Linked DNA regions of Oryzias latipes. The protein of the gene in region 1 interacts with the protein of each later gene in a biochemical or structural test. Links are inferred from orthologs where the notes say so. Each region holds a gene or a part of one and is shown on either strand. Other genes may lie near its edges.

What was found.
Region 2: the proteins of wwp2 (region 1) and ubiquitin-conjugating enzyme E2 R1 form a complex in vitro, tested with the Homo sapiens proteins (2 studies listed by BioGRID, with this or other methods). The link is inferred for Oryzias latipes from reciprocal best matches to the Homo sapiens genes WWP2 and CDC34.
Region 3: the proteins of wwp2 (region 1) and dvl2 form a complex in vitro, tested with the Homo sapiens proteins (2 studies listed by BioGRID, with this or other methods). The link is inferred for Oryzias latipes from reciprocal best matches to the Homo sapiens genes WWP2 and DVL2.
Region 4: of the proteins of wwp2 (region 1) and mothers against decapentaplegic homolog 3, one has a biochemical effect on the other in vitro, tested with the Homo sapiens proteins (2 studies listed by BioGRID). The link is inferred for Oryzias latipes from reciprocal best matches to the Homo sapiens genes WWP2 and SMAD3.
Region 5: the proteins of wwp2 (region 1) and smad7 are reported together in a solved structure, tested with the Homo sapiens proteins (2 studies listed by BioGRID, with this or other methods). The link is inferred for Oryzias latipes from reciprocal best matches to the Homo sapiens genes WWP2 and SMAD7.

Annotation. Positions count from the first base shown.
Region 1 is NC_019864.2:27,459,155-27,463,547, reverse strand, and holds the start of wwp2 (NEDD4-like E3 ubiquitin-protein ligase WWP2), read right to left. Parts: upstream 2,936-4,393; 5' UTR 2,836-2,935; intron 890-2,835; 5' UTR 878-889; coding exon 808-877; intron 1-807. UniProt on the Homo sapiens protein: E3 ubiquitin-protein ligase which accepts ubiquitin from an E2 ubiquitin-conjugating enzyme in the form of a thioester and then directly transfers the ubiquitin to targeted substrates.
Region 2 is NC_019875.2:22,330,415-22,334,819, reverse strand, and holds the start of ubiquitin-conjugating enzyme E2 R1, read right to left. Parts: upstream 2,944-4,405; 5' UTR 2,337-2,943; coding exon 2,151-2,336; intron 2,068-2,150; coding exon 1,981-2,067; intron 1,896-1,980; coding exon 1,798-1,895; intron 1-1,797. Other genes in the region: cactin, read left to right, coding at 3,509-3,780, 4,136-4,405. UniProt on the Homo sapiens protein: E2 ubiquitin-conjugating enzyme that accepts ubiquitin from an E1 ubiquitin-activating protein, and catalyzes its covalent attachment to other proteins by an E3 ubiquitin-protein ligase complex. In vitro catalyzes 'Lys-48'-linked polyubiquitination.
Region 3 is NC_019876.2:14,943,233-14,946,909, reverse strand, and holds part of dvl2 (segment polarity protein dishevelled homolog DVL-2), read right to left. Parts: intron 689-3,677; coding exon 579-688; intron 388-578; coding exon 258-387; intron 1-257.
Region 4 is NC_019861.2:12,626,371-12,628,758, reverse strand, and holds part of mothers against decapentaplegic homolog 3, read left to right. Parts: intron 1-1,813; coding exon 1,814-1,937; 3' UTR 1,938-2,388. UniProt on the Homo sapiens protein: Receptor-regulated SMAD (R-SMAD) that is an intracellular signal transducer and transcriptional modulator activated by TGF-beta (transforming growth factor) and activin type 1 receptor kinases.
Region 5 is NC_019870.2:9,759,741-9,763,940, forward strand, and holds the start of smad7 (mothers against decapentaplegic homolog 7), read right to left. Parts: upstream 2,954-4,200; 5' UTR 2,002-2,953; coding exon 1,536-2,001; intron 862-1,535; coding exon 808-861; intron 1-807. UniProt on the Homo sapiens protein: Antagonist of signaling by TGF-beta (transforming growth factor) type 1 receptor superfamily members; has been shown to inhibit TGF-beta (Transforming growth factor) and activin signaling by associating with their receptors thus preventing SMAD2 access.

The DNA.
Region 1 (4,393 bases):
TACACTGCAAAAAGAGTTTGCTGTATTTGCAAAACAGACCAGAAAACTGTTGAACTGTAAAATGACTTGAGGGACGTCCCGCAGCGAATACAATAGAGCAGAATGCAGCAATAAAGAGGCATCAGCTGATAAACCAGAAAGTTTAAACTTCACTTATCTTTATAAACAGCTAAAACTCAAGCAATTATATATTAGTTAAAAATTGGGCATCAAATAAATCATCTTAAGCTGCAGCATAAGAATTGAAACATTCTGGGTTTTTTTTTTTAATATAATTGCTGGATTTTTTTTTTACAGCACATAGATTAGCTGAGAAACATGAAAAATGTATTTGAGAAAACATGAAAATTATTTGTAAAATGAACCAATTTACATTTTTTTAAGGCTATCTGATCAAATATGCCACCAAAAAGTTGTAACCATAACATAATATGTTCTGGTAAAAATTTTGTTTGTTGTTTTTCCAAAAAAAAAGCAGAAAATATTAATCTGCAAGTGTTTCAGTCTAACTTTGACACATTCCAGGTTTTTGTCGTATGCTTCACATATTTGCCCAAATAGATCAAGGAAGACATTTATATGAAACTTAATAATAATAATAATAATAATAATAATAATAATAATAATAATTAACTGGAAAATTCTATAAAGCTTCAATTATTATCTGCTCCCATCTTTAAAAACCACAAATGAACATTTAAACATAAATCTGGCTTCACTTTAATTTGAAATATTGTTTTACAAAAAAATACTAATAATAATCACCCAAAGTCTATGAAGAGGTGATCAAAAATAAAAAAGACTGACCTTTCAGGATCAACTGAGACTTTTCTGTACTCTGAGCACTGCCAGGTCTGGTCACGCTGGCAGCTGCCATGACATCCCAGCTCTGCAACACAAGCAGTCGCACAAATGACCACAACACTACACAAAAAGTGAATCATTGCATCCCTGCTGCATACAGGTATGCTTACGTTGAAAGTCTCAATCATCGTGCTAAATTTAAGAATGATTCTTTTTTTATTGTTTTCAGGCTCAGTGTAAGCCAACTGAAAGGTTGTTTTCTTCATTGTTACTTATAAATTGATAGATAAGTCTTTATTGTCATACGTACAATGAAACTAAAAGTGCCTTCTGCACGGACCAGAAGGCACTGAAAAGAAGAAGAATTTTTAGGTTTTTTGTCATAGTTTTGTAAAAAACAAATTAAACCAAAAACAAAACTGTGACCCAAAAATCGAGGTTTGAACAAATCATGGGGTGCAGCCTCATCCTTTAGAGCCAACGCTTCCTGCATTTTTCACTCATTTAATGTGCAAAGTCTGCAGAGATGTGACGCCTGGAGGACAAAGCCAAGGACCAAGTGTCCTGCAAACATCACAGCTCACCACCAAAATGCATTATTGTTAGGTTGAGTGCAAACTGCACAAACAACAATGTAAATAAATAAATTACATTTTGTTTTGACTATAGACAAAAATCTCTAATTTAGAAAACTTTTTAAATGTTCTGTTTTATATTCACAAGTGTCTAAGTCTAATAAAAATGTGTTTTATTGTCTTTCAATGTGCAACTATTTTATAAACCAGTGGCCCTGAACCACCTTTTAATCACCTCATCTAACAGTTTGTCATTATGTTGTGATTGGATTCCACCTGTCATTAAAAAAAACATTACAAAATAAAAGCATATACCTGAAAGTGTTTTGTTTTCCCTGTCAGAGGCTGCAGCCAAGTCTCATCAACATCACCTTGAGCAAAGTCATGCAGGGATGCAGTCTGCAGCGTTTATTAGTGCGAACAAATCTGCAGCACAGCAGGCATTAACCCTGCTGCAAGCAACTACGTCCTTGATGATGCTCCGTCATTGTTTGCAGAGTAAATAACTATAAACTCTGCATTTCCTCTGCACACAGTCAGAAGCCTCAGACAAGGCGAGTCTTGATAAAAGTTGGTCCTAATCAGAAATCAACTGTGTGTTTTGACAACCACTTCTGTCTCAGTCAGAGCCAATCCGAGGGGAGCTAACACAACAAAAGCTCGCATTCCCGTCAACCTTGCGAATTAACCTCGGAAAGGTTCGGCCAGGGGGATCAATGGCGCCTCCGGACCCCGGCAAAGCTTCACCTAAACGGATGAAGACGGAACCATTTCTGCTCAACCGATTTATCGTCACTGCATGGTACCCCTGAGTGACTGCTGCTAACAAAATACAAACAAGGCAGATGATTGAGGCATATGAAAGTATTACCGTCAATCCTGGGCAGACAACACGCAAACTTCCGTTGAGGATTTTTAAATTAAAAGCTTACCAAGAAAAAGTCCTTTATTTACTCTAATTCCCCCAAAAAAGATAATTTAGTATTTTCTATTAAAATATGAAAATAAAAATACAAGAAAGAGAACGACATGACTTAATTATTATGGTTATTTCAGTACATAACTACATTACTACGCATTAAGCGTTTCTTGTTCCAATTTAATTTGTTTTAACACTTCAAGAACACACAAGCTAGTAATTTAATAAACCCTACATTTTGAATAAAACTTTGATTTTTTTAATTAAAATGTGTTTCTTAAATCCTTTCTCACCCCTAATGCTTAATTTGAAGGGGAACTGTCTTCACTTCCGTTTGGAACGGCTCATTTGTCGTGAGAAGGTAACTGTTAGCCCGCAAGCTTGTTAGCTGGATTTTACCAAAGGACATGGAAAAAATAGCTATTTCATACACCAGAGTGAAAACAGATTAAGATCTATAGCAACCCGCTTAATATTAGACACAGCTCGGTGTACTGACACAAGAAAACAGAAGCATTTATGGCAAAGTTCTTGTACCTTTTTCAGCTGTACTCCGCCGCTGTAGCTAGTGAACTTTCATTTCCGCATCACTGATAAAGCCACGTGATCCAGTGACGTCAGAGGGAGGAGGAGGGGGCATTTGCTCTACGAATATTGTCCCCTAACTGACTTAGCTAAATGTGACATACACAAATGTAAATATACAAACAAAAAAACAGCGTTTTTCATTAAGAAATGGTACTGTGCATAAAAGTATGGAATCCTAAACTAATAAAAAAGTTGAGTTGGGGTTGGTTTCATTTAAAATGTGAGAAAATTTGCCTTTTATTTTCTTTTTTTTTAAGTACTATTGTTTTTTTCTGTATTTCAATCTCCTGGAAAATTCAATAAAGTTACTTAACTAAAACAAATCCCCCCCCCCCCCCCCCATATGGTAAAGCATAAAATGGTTGACTAAAATCGTGCAATGTAGAAATCTGGTATGGAAACTAGGTATGGAGTTTCCTGTTTTGTATGATGTATTGTATGTGCAATAGTTGTCGATAAAGTTCATTTTAAAAGATTCCACCTTCAGAACCCACTTAATCTTTTGGGGTATTAAGTGGAGCCTGTTCCAGCCACTGCTGGGCAAGGGGAGGGGTACACACTAGATGTGTTGCCGGTCTTTTGCACAGCCACACGATCACAGGGACAGTTTAATGATACAAACAGACTGATGATATCACACGTTTTTCCTTGTTTTTGACATTAAACTCTCAATGGATCCTGAACCAAATCAAAACTAAAAACTAACCAACCTAAAAAAAATACTTTGATTTGCCACAGAATAAATTCAATTTTGCTTTAACAACTTAGAATAGCCTCTGCTGACAGATTGTGAATATTTTATCTTTTATATAAACAAGCTGAACTAATGTTAATACAAACCATCATCCCTGCAATAAACAGGCTCCACCGACTTTCATTAAATAAAGTCATTCTGCTGCAAATTTTCTAATTAAAGTAGAAAAGTGATTTTGTGCTCTAAAAAATTGCATTAACAAGTGGTGTTTTTTTTTAAAATCAGTGTCTTTGTTAAAATACATTTTTAAAAATACTTCAAAAAAAACAAAAACTTATTGTGAACATTTAGGATAGAAACACTTTGATTCAAAACATTATTTGAAGAAGTATTTTACTAAATGTCCAAGTATGTTTCAGCTAAAAAAGTAATTGGATCAAGTGTGAAGTTTTTATCTAAAAAACGATTAAACTTTTTAGCTGTAAAGAACATATTACATTTAGATAGGAGACATTTTTAGTTTCTTATCCAATTAAAAATTAATTTTTTAGCTTCAACAGTAGTTCTTCTAAAGTCTTAAATTTCTTGCTCGATGTTAAAGTTGTTCACTTTGTTTTTGTTTTTAACTGAAACAAAACAGATTTGAAAGAACAAAAGTCTTTAAAACATATTTATTTAAAATTGGGACAACAACAAAACAGATATTAATGTGAGTCTGTGCACCATTTTCTTAACATTTGAGGGTTTTTCCTGAAACAGGAAGTGGATTTTCAGCTGCTTTTCAATTCCCCCACAGGTTCAAAGACATGAATA
Region 2 (4,405 bases), on another chromosome or scaffold:
GCTAGACTTCTGCAGAAGGAGAATCAGTCTGTGACGGCGTGAACTGTCACCGAAGAGTTCTGCCATCCTAGTGCATGAAGCCTTCTTTTATTGAAAGCTGAAGGTTGCAGACATGAATGTGGATCATTTAATCAGAAACACCAGGAACATCATATTCTCGCATAATCAGAACTTTTTAGGTCATTGTTTTCTTACTGAAAGATAAATGTGACACAACCATATTATGGAGATTATAGCGTGTAAGCAAATGATAATTACATAACTCCAACATCAATGAATTTTTATTTTGTAGGAACAAAATCCTAATTCACAGGAACCATTTCATTCTTTGTTTACCCATGTCAGGTCACGGTAAATTATTCTAAAAAAATTGCTGTAATAACTATCAATAGAAAAAATTAAGGTGCCTGTTAAAACAGCTGAAACAAGTTTGAGTACTTACATCTTTTTGTGGAACTTTTTAATGTTGTTGCAAAACTCTGATGCAAAAAAAGGTTCAATTTAACCATTTAATTCTACAATCTTGGTACTAACGTTTTTAATAATCCAGGATAAAATATTCCTAATTGATTGTATTACTTCATTACAATAGAAGCAGGGATTATTCTACAAGAAATTTTAACGCATAAGAAGATTATTGAGTGTGCAGAGCAGTGTGAAGGTGGAATATGACCCCTGCTGCTAATGTGATTAATGGCATGTGTGGTCTCAACTCAAGTCCACAATTCCAGGTCTATAAAGTCCACTCATCTTTTGATTTATTTTCAAAGTATTCCTAGTGGTCTTTTAATTATGTTTATGCGTGTATTAGCCATAATCCAAAAACCTGTGTACTTTTTTTTAAGACATAGTTTCTGCAGAGCGGCAGTACATTAGAAATTCACCTCTGAGATGTGGGACCGTTGGTGCATAGCAACCCAACCCCCCCCCTTCCCATCATCCCTTTGTCTACACTCTCTCCTGCTAGCTTACAGCCCTTTACAAGCCAAACCAAGCATTAACAGTGCGACAAAAATACTGAGCAATATCAGAGCTATCCAGTTGTACAGTTTTGAGTGAGATGCCAGCTCGGATGAGGAAAATAAAGATGCATATGGATCTAGGCATGGGAGAGTTGTGGAAAAGGAGTGGTATGTCTTGTGTATGCAAAGGTTTTTATTTGTACCTATAGTCTCAAAAACTGCTCTGATGTTCATAAAAGTCACAAAAACCAAAGTTATTGTAATAATTTAAAACTATACAGCAGCAGTCCATCCGTAAGGGGCCAAGAGGATCTCAAATATGGGGTTCTGTTTGAGCTAAAAAATATGTTTTTGCGTCCACTGTCTATGTCTACTGAACAAGTTTATTGAACATTGGTTCATGTCTATGTAATACTAAGCAGTATCTTCTGCGTGCCCCGTGCTTGTTTGATTATTACAATGCATTTGCTTTCTGACGGCTTTGGCAAAATTTGACAAGCGACGCGACATGGGAAAACGACGTACCTAACGACACTAGCAACGGTTGCTAAGGGCTTTCCTGACAACGTAGTGAGGCGATATGGGGAAAGTAATAATCAAAGAAGCATGGGCACGCAGACGATATTGCTTTGTAGTACATAGACATGAACCAATGTTCAATAAACTCGCTCAGTACACATAGACAATTGACCAAAAGACACAGACAAAAACATATTTTTGGCACAAACAGAAACCCCATACTCACAGGACTCTACTTCAAATAAATTATTAAAGTAACCAAAAAACAAAGAAGGGAGGAGACCAGAGAGGAGATAAGAGTGAGGGATCTGCTGACCGGACATTCTGGGTGGGGTTCCATCTCTCTGAGGGCAGCTCTCCACTCTGTGGGTCATCCACTGGTGGATGCAGAATAGAAATGCACACGTCTCCATTCTAAAAGAGTGGAAAGAAGGTCATTTGCTGCAGCCACAACACAAATAAAACACAATATTACACTGTAGTCATTGTGATACAACACCTCATAGATGTTGGGATGCCACATTTTGGTGAGGAAGCGAAATGTTGGTGGGGAGTATGGATAGTCTATAGGAAACTTGATGCGAGCCTAAAAGAAGAAATCCATTTGTTGTATTTGTCTTATCGTTTGAGTTTAGCTCATTATATTTTCTTGCCATTTTCACTTCTTACCTTAAAGTACCCCCCTTCATAATGAGTGTTTGGTGGTCCAAAAATGGCCACTTCCCAGTTGTATAAATCAGCTTCGTCCACGAGAGTGATTTTGAATCCCTCCACAGGCTCCTCCTGGAGGCTCTTCATCTCCAGCATGAGAGCTTTCTGTGAGCTGGCGACATGAGAGGAGTCGTGTTGCGCCATTCTGCTTCGTTTGGTTTTTTGAGGGGATCTTAATTCGACAGCCGATGCTTCTGTTTACGAAGCTAAGTTTGATATAAAACAGTCGAGCGACCCACAACAAGTTCTGCGTTTTCTACCTCCAAAAACAATAAACACAGGCCGAACCTATGGCTATAATGCTGATGTGCACAAGCCAAACAATACCTTCTCTGCTCTAAGATCCCAATAACAACGTGGGAATATCAACACTCACAACGGCTGAGTTAACCGAGACATTATAACCTACCAGCACCTAAAGATTTAGTCAATTTACCAGGTTAACCGCGCATATAAGCCGTAAATCTAATGGTTGCTGCTGGCTAATGTGGCTAATCAGAGTTACCGACCAGCCGTAGCCGATGATCTCAGCACAGAAACAACACTTACTGCACTTTAGGAAGCGAGACGCGTTTTCTAATTTAAAGAGGTACTAAACTACAACGCTGAAGACACTAGCAACAAAGTACGTTTGTGCTGCCATCTGAGAACACGATTAGGAAAGACTGTTGCTGAAAGGACTCCCCTGCACTCTGAAAACAGCCAACTCCCTCTGGTGTATGGGATTTGTAGTTCGGTTTTGTGCATTTTATCATTAGAAAACACCTTTCCTGTATTTAAGACAGAGTATGCGGAAAATATAAGCACTTATAATTATTTTACCTATAGAAAGAACGTTTAGCTTGACCAAAGTATTACTTTTGTTATCGAAAATGTTTTCAGAGGGAAAAATGAACTACATTCGCCTGACTTCGTAAGGACCCCAAGTGTTTTTCTTCTTGTTCAACAACTATTCAAAATGTTTTGCTCATTTGTGGGGGAAAAAACATTCAAGTTGCTTTATTATTATTTGTTCGAAATGTTTTGTGTAGTTAAAACAAACAAAAAAAAATTAAATAATTTTTGCTATTTGAAATACTTGCCAATAATACTCGCTAACATGACGTCATATTCGTGCGCACTGTGGATTTTTTTTGACCGTATTAATGTTTTTAAGTTTTATAAAATAACATATTAAACAACAATTAATAGTTTGTAGCATTGACAGTTGCAACTTTTGTGCAATATTTATTTTTCATTGTAAACGGTTTCAAGCTATTACCTCTTATTTACGCGACACAGTGCCTTTCGGACCCCGCACTGTTAGCAAGTTCGTAATGGGATCCAAATCTCGACGTAGGTCCCGGTCAAAATCAAGAAGCGGGAGCCGAAATCGGCGAAATAAATCCAGAGAGAGCCGCTCTAGATCACATGACAGAAGAAGAGGTCGCGGCAAATCTGTGGAAAAACGAAAAAGCGGCCCAGGAAGATCCAGCAGCAGCGATGCTGGGTCTCCTTCCCGAGGGCGGCCTCGACATCGACGTCGCTCTGGACCCAGTAGTGGCTCCGAGAGCGACAGGCGAAATAAATCGAAGGGCCGATCATCAAGGTGAGCTGGACATATCAAATATAATATATAGTGGCAACAATTTTTCATTAACATTTAAAAATGATTTTCATCGACACATAAATTAACATTCTAACAAAAAACTCCAAAACAGTATCTAGTTAACTGTTTATTCTATGTTATTATATTTTTTATAATCTCCAAAGTTAAGTATTTCCTCTCATGGTATAGTATATATACATAGTTTTTCCTTTGTCACCCCATTACCTGCGTAAACAATTAGTCACAGGGCAGATTACTTGTTGCAGAGGCTTTTAGGTTGTCTGTTGAAACCTGTAACCCATCACTTTTTGAAAGTATTACCTCATTGTTAAGTTATACATATTTTCTGTTTTAGTCCTGATCTAGATGATCCCAAAATAAGGAGGACAAAGGAAGCAGAGCCTCGCAGAGGACGATCTCAAGACCGGAGAAAAAGAAGATCCAAATCCAAGTCATATTCCTCTGATGAAAGCAATGACCGAGAGAGGAGAAAACAAAGAAGTTCTGAGAGGAGGAGTTTGGGCAGAGACGGACACAAGAGGGAATATGACAAAGAGAGATGGAAGAGCAGCAGCAGAGAACGTGAAAGACAACACAGCAGAGACAAAAGTAAGGAGCGGCAGAA
Region 3 (3,677 bases), on another chromosome or scaffold:
GATGCACTGAAAGTGATTGCAGTGAGTTGCTGTTCAAAAATGGATGAAATTGCTCACAAAATGCAGTCAAATCAGTTTTAGTTCCCTTTTTTGGAGCATTTACATTTAGTAACTGACTGGAAGAAAAGGTTTAAAGCCTTTCTTGAGGAAATTTTAGAACCTTTTTTTTGTAAATCAGTTTTTACAGAAGCCACATGTGGTTCTATAAAGATAAAGGGTTAATGGGTTAAAAGACTCCGCCCCCTTTAGTTTCCTACCTGCTCATGGTGTCGTCATCCTCAGAGTCGCAGAAACTGGTGGTTTCCAGCTCGCTGCTCATCACCGTGCTGGAGCTCTCGTACCCCGCCAGGTGGCGCTCCAACCGGCTCTGACCGTTCATGCGAGAACCTTAAACAGGAGATCAGAAGAAAAGAACCATCATGTTTGCTCCCTTTAGTCTTTACAGATATTTCGTCATGTCATTTAGGTTAAGTTTCTCATCCCAAACTGGATGAAACGCAAATAAACAAGCAGCGCAGCGTCAAATCTGGACAGGACAGCGGCGGGAAGGCCTGTTGGGATGCGGCGCCGGCGCTCACCGTGTGGATCCAGGCTCTCCCGGTGGCGAGGCCTCTCCCTCCTGAAGGAAACAACAGACTCCGTTTCCGTCTGCTCATCCAAAGTCTCTACGCTGCCCGTAGCATTGGGGCTGAAGAAGAAAGAAAAAGACAAAACGTATTTACCAACAGGAAAAAATATCCTTTGCATCTCAAAATAAAATGAATTAGTCCCAATTAGGCGATGAAATAGTCTTCCGCCTTTATTGTGTAACTTCTGCTCAGTTTTTGTCACAGGCAGAGATCCGGTTTCTTCTCACTTCAATGAAAAGTTTTTCAGTTAAAAACCCAAAGACTCGATATCCTTTTACTAAACGATCCTTCTTCCAGAAACCGCGTGAAAGCGAGACGTTCGGGAGTCTCTGGAGAGTGTCCAATAACTCCACTGGCGGCTGAATTTTAGGGAACGTTTCACACACGAGGTGACCAGGAAAACAAAAGCTGCAGGCAGTCTGAAACTCTGTTTGGCTTAAAATGATTGGATGCCTCCATAAACTGTAATGAATGAAACCTTTAAAACATGAGAGCTTCTCATCTATCAAACCCCGCAGCAGAAACACTCTAGATTTCAACTTCAAAAAAAAAGAATGATGTAAAAAACAAACCCAAAACCCATGACTTATCTGCCCTCAATTGAACTATGAGTTACTGCAAGAAACAAAATATTTTTTTCCAGTTTGCGTAAAATAAGCAACTTAGTGCGAAGCTTTTGGGAAAACAGAGATTGCTCCACGTTCATCGAGTCAGGAGTTTTTAAGGTGACTCGTGAGAGAAAAATACACAAAGCCTGAAGTCAAATAATGAAGCTGAAACGTTTCCAGATGAAGCGGGGGGGGGGGGGGGGGGTGAGTCAGAGCACAGCCTCCAAAAGTTGCCTTAAGAAACTAAAACAGTTCTTTAAGATGGAGAAGAGAACAGGAATCATCCTGATGATGGAGCGTAAAAACACATTTTATTGTTCCTTACCCATTTTTTAGTGCTGTCTGAATCAACAATTCCAAAATCCAGTGCCCTAGAAACGTCCCAGAAGTCTCTGTGAAAAGCCAGTGTGCATTGATGCTCACTAGATTGGCAATTATAGACCACAATGCCTTTTTTGCAAAGAATAATGTATTTTAATGATTTTTTTAACCAAGTTTTTATCATCAAAACACTGTCATGTGATGTTTATGTCAAAGGGCCTATACCATGCTATTCTTAAGCCTTTTATAGTAAAACATATCCATATTTATAATCACCTTTGGCCCACAAAAGAACACATTTTTTCTTAAATATTAGTTATTTTCCTGAGTTCTGCTCCAACCCAGAACTAAAACGACTCAATCTCTGAGGCACCGCATTTCGCTCCTTGTGGGTGCCGCCCGTTTCATGGCATCACTGTAAAGTTGGCCCCTGCAGCGTGTCTGCGTCTCACCCACAAAAACAAACAACATCTGAACTTTTGCAAAGGTGGATGTGCATAATGATCTTATAAAAGGACAGTCTGTGCAGCTGTGCATCATGGCTTCCTAAGTCCGGTAACATTTCCCAGTGAAGGTTCAAATGCATGACACACAACAGAGGTATGCAATGCACAACAAGCCGCGTTTGCATCTACAGTGGTGGACAAAATTGTTGGGACCCCTCAGTTAAAGAAAGAAAGAAAGTCCACAATGCTCACTGACATGACTTGAAACGTTCAAAAGAAACAATAAATTAAAATTTATTGAAAATTAAATAATCACAATAAGCTTTTACTTTTAAGTTGTTGATTAACAGAATTATTTAAAAAAAATAGGGCTGCACAAAGATGATGGTATCTCCATAACTTAATATTTTGTTGCATAACCTTTTGAGGCAATCACTGCAATTAAACAGTTTCTGTAATTGCCAATGAGCCTTCTGCACCTGTCTACAGGGATTTTGGCCCACTCCTCATGAGCAAACTGCTCCAGTTGTCTCAGGTTTGACGGGTGTCTTCTCCAAATGGCATGTTTCAGCTCCTTCCACAAAGGTTCAATGGGATTTAGATCTGGGCTCATAGAAGGCCACTTCAGAATAGTCCAATGCTTTTCTCTTAGCCATTCTTGGGGGTTTTTGGCTGTGTGTTTTGGATCGTTGTCCTGTTGGAAGACCCATGACCTGTGACTGAGACCAAGCTTTCTGACACTAGGCAGCACATTTCTACCCAGAATGCCTTGATGATCTTGAGATTTCCTTTTACCTTGCACAACTCCAAGACACCCTGTGCAGATGCAGCAAAGCAGCCCCAAAACATAACTGAGCCTCCTCCATGTTTCTTAGTAGGGACAGTGTTCTTTTCGTTCTATGCTTCATTTTTGAGTTTACGAACATAGAACTGATGTGCCGTACCAAAAAGCTCCAGTTTTGTCTCATCTGTCCAACATTTTCCCAGAAGCTTTGTGGCTTGTCAACATGCATTTCTGCAAATTCCAGTCTCCCTTTTTTGATCTAGGAGATCCCCTTTAAAGTCTTTGGAGGTTTTCTGGGCTCTTTGGATCCAGTTCATACTATCCGTCTCCTCAATTTGTCATCAATTTTCCTCTTCCGGCCACGTCCAGGGAGGTTGGCTACTGTCCCGTGGGTCTTAAACTTCTGAATAATATGTGCCACTGTCGTCACAGGAACTTCAAGCTGCTTAGAGATGGTTTTCTGGCCTTCCCCTTTACAATGTTTGTCTATAATTTTGTTTCTAATGTCCTGGGACAATTCTCTCCTTGGCTTTCTGTTGTCCATGTTCAGTGTGGTTCACACCTTTTTACCAAACAGCAACGTGACTATTTGTCTCCCTTTGAATAGGCAGACTGACTGATTATGGGTTTGAAAACAGCTGTGATGTCAATTAAAGGACACACCTGAGTTCATCATGACCCCCTGGGCAATTAGTTCTCAGTCTTTTACGGAGGTACCATCATTTTTGTCCAGCCATATTTCATTAGTTTGTTTTTTTAAATACTTCTGTTAATCAATAACTCAAATGTAATGGCCGATTTTGATTATTTAATTTTCAATAAATTTTAATTTATTGTTACTTTTGAACGTTTCAAGTAATTTTAGTGAGCATTGTGGACTTTCTTTCTT
Region 4 (2,388 bases), on another chromosome or scaffold:
ATTCAGGTTACGTGATCAGACAGGCCTCTTTCCACTCCACCTCCACCTACCTTTCTCTGTTTTCACTACAGATCTGCTTTAACTCCTTTGTCCCTCCACGTTTTTGTCATTCAGTTTAAAAACTGCTTCACATGAATGAATACTTTAAAGGAGCCGACATTGGGAAGCATTTGTGTTGTATCCGGTGAGCTGCTGTCCAGTTGATTCCAAAACTTCTGCATCCTTTAGCTTGATGAGACTTTTAACACAGAGCCAGCAGTTTAATCCCTTTGTTCAAATTTTTTTTATTTCTGCCTTAAAAATGTGAAACATCTGGATCCAAACCCTGAATCATCAAAGTTCAATCCCACTGTTCTCGTTATCAGCTCCAGTCTGTCCTGTCCATTCTGAGGTCAGAGAGAACAAAAGAATCGTAAAGATTCAAGAAGGAGAAAGTTTAGAAAAAGAAGCATATCAAATATAAACAGCTATACAGCAAAAAATGTAAAAGACATGAAGATCAGTCCACTTTGAATGTAGCACATTTGACAAAAGACGCTTCAAGATCAAGCTTCAAATCGTATTTTTTGTCTTTCTGCCTTATTGGTCAAAGTACGGCCTCATTTAAAGTCCCACTCCAATCCTCTTTGATCTATTGTAAAAGTATCCCCACTGCTCTTTTAATGAGGATTTTCAGTCAAAAAAAACAAATAAAACATTAGTTCATTAGAAATTTACCTCTGAATTGAGGGCAACCCCATTGGTGCAAAGTAAGCCCGCCCCTATTTCCCGTCATCCATCTGATTACACTTTCTCCCACTAGCTTACAGCCCCAACCGAACATTGCAGATGCAACAAAAACGGGGAGCAATGTTGGAGCAGATAACAGTTCAGACGAGGAAAACAAAGACGTTCATGGATCTATTTGTCTGCAAGTGGATACATCAGAATGGAGCAGAGCAGGGAGCTTGTTGCCCACTAATTATAGCTTGTATGTCACCTCTACAGGCTTTCGCCAACTGTATTTCTGCTCCTAATTCGCCATGATTACAAACACAACACAATTTACATCAGAGTGGGTCTGCCAATAGGTCATTTTGGAACGAAAGTTCTCAGAAATTGCTAAACGTTCTGTTCTTGAACTCTTGTTTAAGTAACCCTGACAGAGGCTGCAGACGCGCTTTGACGTGGAGAAAGAAAATCAACAGTCACGGGTTACAAATCCAGCTGATGTGTGTGGAGGGCTGGCCTACTGGTCACTGACATGAACCCTTGGCTGGTTGGTCATTGGTTCAAGTCCCAATTCTGACTTGAAAAAGTCATAGTAAAGTAAAAAAGCCTTTGCTCCACTGCTGTAATGCCCTTGAGCAAGGCTCTTAAGAGGAGCTGTTCCGTGAACAGAGGTTGACCCGGGTATCTCCCAGGTGAAAAGAGTTCCGTCTCAATGGGTGTCTCTTATATAAATAAAGGGATAAAAAACAGCTTCAGACAGTGACTCTAGTTTTAAGTGTTCTATGAATGTGAAAAACATCTTATCTTGTTTCCATGATCAGATTCAGTGCCAGACAGAACAAAACCTTGCCGTCTTGTTAAAGCAGTTTTATGACGCTGTGCAATAATAATTGCCATAATTCACAGAAAAGTCGAAGCCTCGTCTTACTAAACAGCAGGAAGTTCAGCTGCAGCTCAGAATAGATCCAGTTTGATTGCATATGCCAAATATCAGGGCTAAAATCGATCAGGTGTTTGTTTTTCCAGGACTTGATGTGTTTACTTACAGGCAGAGCGGCTGGTTCTGCATCCTCACCATCTGTTGTCTGTGTGTGCGTCCCAGGCGGCAGACAGTGACCAGCACCCCCTGCTGGATCGAGCTCCACCTGAACGGCCCTCTGCAGTGGCTCGACAAGGTGCTGACACAGATGGGCTCCCCAAGCATCCACTGCTCCAGTGTCTCCTAGGGGGAGCTTCCCTGCCCCCCCCCCCCCCCCCCCCTTTCACGAAACTGAAAACACAGATAGGAAGAGCAGCCCGAGAACTACATGATGACACGCCTCTCATCCAGCCACTGTTTGTCCCTCCTCGCTGCCAGTAGCACTTTTTTTATTTTCTAGTTGCAAAAAGGGGACACGTGCATTAATGCAGTATCAGTTTAGGAGGATCTCAGCATATTGGTCTTTTTTCTTTTTTCTTTTTTTTTTTGAAGGTCATTGTCATTTTTGGCATCTGATAGCCAGAAAGGCAGAATTATTTTTTTATTTCCTGTTTTTTTTTAATGTCTTGTTTATTGTTTATAGCTGTTGGATACATTTTACACTCAATTATCTTTAAAAAACATAGAAAAAATAAATTGTTGACATTTTTATGCGTTGTTGTTCCCTTTAAAACCCATGTAATTATGAACGTTTACTT
Region 5 (4,200 bases), on another chromosome or scaffold:
ACAAAGAGAGAGCGAAGAGGAAGGAGGGGGGCTATGAAGAACCGCAGCTGCAGCTGCAATTACTTCCTATTGTTTCCACTCACTGAAAGCCACTTTCTCCTTCTTCTGACTAACTGGCTGGCTGACAGTTGGCTGTTTAACTCCGGGCTGTTTCTGCGCCCATGGAGGCTGAGATGATCAGAAATAAGAGATAATTAAAGACGAGGGTTTGGTCTTCAAAGCGGATGTAACCCATGACGATGCTGTGGCCTGCTGCCACACGGGGGCCCGGGTCAAGTCAGAAAACAAGTGTTGGGTGGTGGTGGTGGTGGAGGGGGGGGGCAATCACTTTGAGTGGAGAAAAGACCCCCCTCCCTCCCAAACACACACCGCAAACCCCACTCTTAATCTACTGATCATTCCATCTGATAAAGGCTGACTGGCTCCAGACTCTGTTGTCTGTCTCTCTCAGCACTGTGGTTCACAATAGATAGATGGACAGACCACCCCCCCAACCCCACCCCCAACTCAGACATGCACACAAGCCCTGGTGACATGCCAGTCAGTCCATAGCTGGTATCTCAACTTCGTATTGCCTTGCCCTGGCTGCTAGCCACATTAGAATTGGCCAGCCAGCCAGGCGTGTCACTCTGCCCCCCCCCCACACACACACAACTCCCCATAAATCACAACACCATTTCCTGCAGAGGACACCAACGTGAAGTGCAGCTCATGACATCACTTCAAACATGCATATTATTGCACAAACAAACAAACAAAAAGCAATGACTTAGGAAATATCCATGTGAAATGATGCATCAAGCTCACCTGGTGGTTTCAAATAGTCCATGGGATATCGCGAATAAGGAGGAGGAGGAGACTCTGTGTGGAGGAGGAGGGGGGGAAAGAAAAAAAACTGCATGAGAAAAGAAGAGGAAGAAAAAAAACACAAAGGAGAGATCTGAACTTTCTGATAAGAGTTGTCATTCTTCAGGGGAGGGCTGATTTGTGCCTGTCAGCTCCGCCTGGAGAAGCAGGCAGTGAGGCTGGCCGGGCGGCTATTGCCTTTCATTGGCAGGCAGATAAACAGGGGGCCGCCTGGCGCCAGAAGGGCCACTATCAGCGTCTAGGACAAACTGAGATACGGGCCTCTTTTGGCCCGGGACGCCAAGCAAGCACACACACACATAAACACACACATTTCAAGACTGGAGAGTCTTTCTGTACTTTGGATGCCAATTATGAAATGTTGAAATTCTTAACAGGGGTGTTTGGAAATCTGAAACCGCGACAATGCGTATAGCTGAGGAGGATTTGAGTTTTGGAAAAAAAAAATCAAATGGAACAATTAATTAAAGTAGGTTTCTATTCAAACTCGACCACCAAACCTGCTAAAAGGATCTGGCACAGCTTCAGATCAATGGAACCTGAAGACCACTGTGCCAGAGAGGTGTTGTCATTAGAATTAGGTTAATTGGCACAGTCTTTTTCAGCCTTCTCTCCACCTAGGACCTCATTTTTTTGGAGTTTTTTTTAGTGAAAATATTGAAGCTCACCGAGTTCACAGAGCCTGCTCATGTGGTGAGGGTTGCAGCAAACGAGCTCGGGGTTGGCTTTCCCGTAAGATTCACAGCACGACAGCCTCTTCAGCTCCGAGGAATGCCTGAGGTCCGGCCACCTGAACACTTTGTAGAGCAGCATGGGGAGGGAGTAAGACTGTTGACCCACTTTGGCGTCCACTTTGCTGGGCAGGAGAAGGCAGGGGCTCCGGACGCCCCCCTTGGACTCCACCGCCTGCAAAAGCACCTCTAATTGTTTTTCTTTGATCTTTTTCAGTACCGAGTGGGTCAACGCCTTCAATTCGGCCTCCGACCCCGCGTTGGACTTGGCCACTTTTGTCGCTTTGCCCATGCAGCAGCCCCCGGAGCCATGCGTCCCTCTATCCGTCTCCCCGTCGCCCTCCACGGGCGCACGGCTCCTCCAGAGTCGCCGGACGAGCCCCGATCGTTTGGTCCTAAACATGCGGGACGAAAAGAGGGTTTCCCGGCTAAAAAACGAGCATGGTGTCCGCAAATCATGAAGATTCCGGGATCCGAGTCCAGGCAATGACAAGCAGCCTGAGAGAAAACGGTGGAAAAACTGGGAGCTGGAGAAGCAGAGGAAATCTATAGCATGCGCCAGTCTCTGAAGCTGTTTTTCCTGCAGAAAGGTCACCAGAAAGCGCTCGAGGTTGGCGGGACAGCCAACGTTTCCACGATCAGAATACAAAAAAAAAAAAAGATCACATCTATGAGCTTAGAAACACCAAACCGGAGCAGGAAACCTGCAGCAGCGGAGCTGCGTGAAGCCCGAATGCGTTACAGTTTTGTGCAATCCGGCGCTGTGAACTGACCCCTTTAAAAAAACGCCGTGACGGTTTACAGCGGGGGGAAAAACGCTGTCAGAAATGTTTATTCAAGTCACAACTAACTGGTACTTATAAGAAAAACCTAAGGCCTAATTAAGCCTCAACGCTGGCGCAATCATCCCATGAAAAAGCGAAGCTCTCCGCCGCGTCTTGAGTAGCATAATCCACAAAATCCTTCATCCGAGCGCACGAACTGGGGCTCCCCACCTTTAAATGTATATTTTAGTATGTAGTGGATGAGGTCTTCTGGTAAAATAGTGAGCCAAGGAGAAAAAAATCCAGGTCTCCCACCGGAGTTGAGTCGCGTTTGTAAAGCCACAGCAAGACCCTCCGTTTTTCTTTTTCTTTTTTGCGTCCACGCAGCGAGCCTGCTTTTAGCAATCCCTCCAGATAAAATAATCCAAAATCGTATCTCTCACGGAGTTTCCGTGGCTGAGCGTGGAGGAAAGCGAGCAGACAGCTGATCTGGTCCGGGCTAAAGGGCTCTCTGTCTGTAAATGAGGCGGATGGTTTGGGTGCCCTTGCTCCGTCTCCAGTCTCCAGTGCGCATTGACGCGCCCGGTCACGTGTGTGTCTAGACACCCTGTCGCTTAAAAGAAATGTGATTGTGTTGCGCAAACAACAGATCAAGTAGAGCCCACGGTGCACACACACACACAAGCGCGCGCGCGCACTTAGAAAACACAAATGAGAAAGTTTACGCCACAAAAGTTTAATATTTGCAGAAAAAAGAACAACATTAAAAAAATTTCTCAGTTAAATTATTTAGTAAATCTGCAGATTTTTTGGTTTGCTTTCAGTCCTAAAATAATGTTTATATATATATATATATATATATATATATATATATATATATATATATATATATATATATATATATATATATATATATATATATATATATATTCAATCATTAATTTCACGCTTGTACTGAATAAGCAGTAAATACGTGTTTCATCGTTAAAGCTATGAATCAGTTTAATATATCTTCATAGCTTTTCGCCACTGTTGCCATGGTGATCACACAGGGCAGTTTTATTGTTTTGGAGAGTTTATGGCTGGAGTTGAATTTAGGAAGTGAGCCACAGTGCTGACTCCTTCGGGGGAGCTCGTTGCTGCCCCCCATCGGACATGTTCGGTACTACACACACAAAGAGTTCCCACCCATCTTTATTTATCCAGCAGATCAATCCATCAGCTGAGGATCAAATTTGTCTTTTCTTGTCTTTTTAACATGTGCCAGCCTTCCTTCTGTGTCATTGCCCTCATGGAATCCATATTAATTATAACAGACTTATATATGTCTGGAATTTAGCTCAATGTTGGTGCCAAAAATGTACAAATACAGCTTGATGGGGAACACTCACTGTGATGTCTCACTTCAAACCCAATAAATTTAACACGTTTTAGGAGAAATTGTTCTTTTAAACAGAAATGAACCGTTTCTGGTCTGCAGACTTCCCTCGACAGACAGTAGTCCCGGGGAGGAGATGCAGTCAGCAGTATGTTAATATGACAGAGTTGCTGCAGGGCATGGGGGTGGGCGGCAGATAATGATGGTGGCAGAGATGTGTGGGGTTGAGGAGGGGTGTGTGTGCATGCGTGGAGGAGATGGAGAAAGATGGGGGAGGAGGTGGGGTGTGTGTGTGTATGTGTGTGTGTGGGGGGGGGGGGGGGTATCAGTCGTTTATCCCCCCCGTATTGTTCCCCCGGATCCCCAACTGGCGCCGAGGAGGAGCGCGCCACTGCAGCCCCAAACCGAGCAGAGGGACTGCGGCGCGTTCCTGGAGGAGTCTGGAAGCAATCAGTCAGGG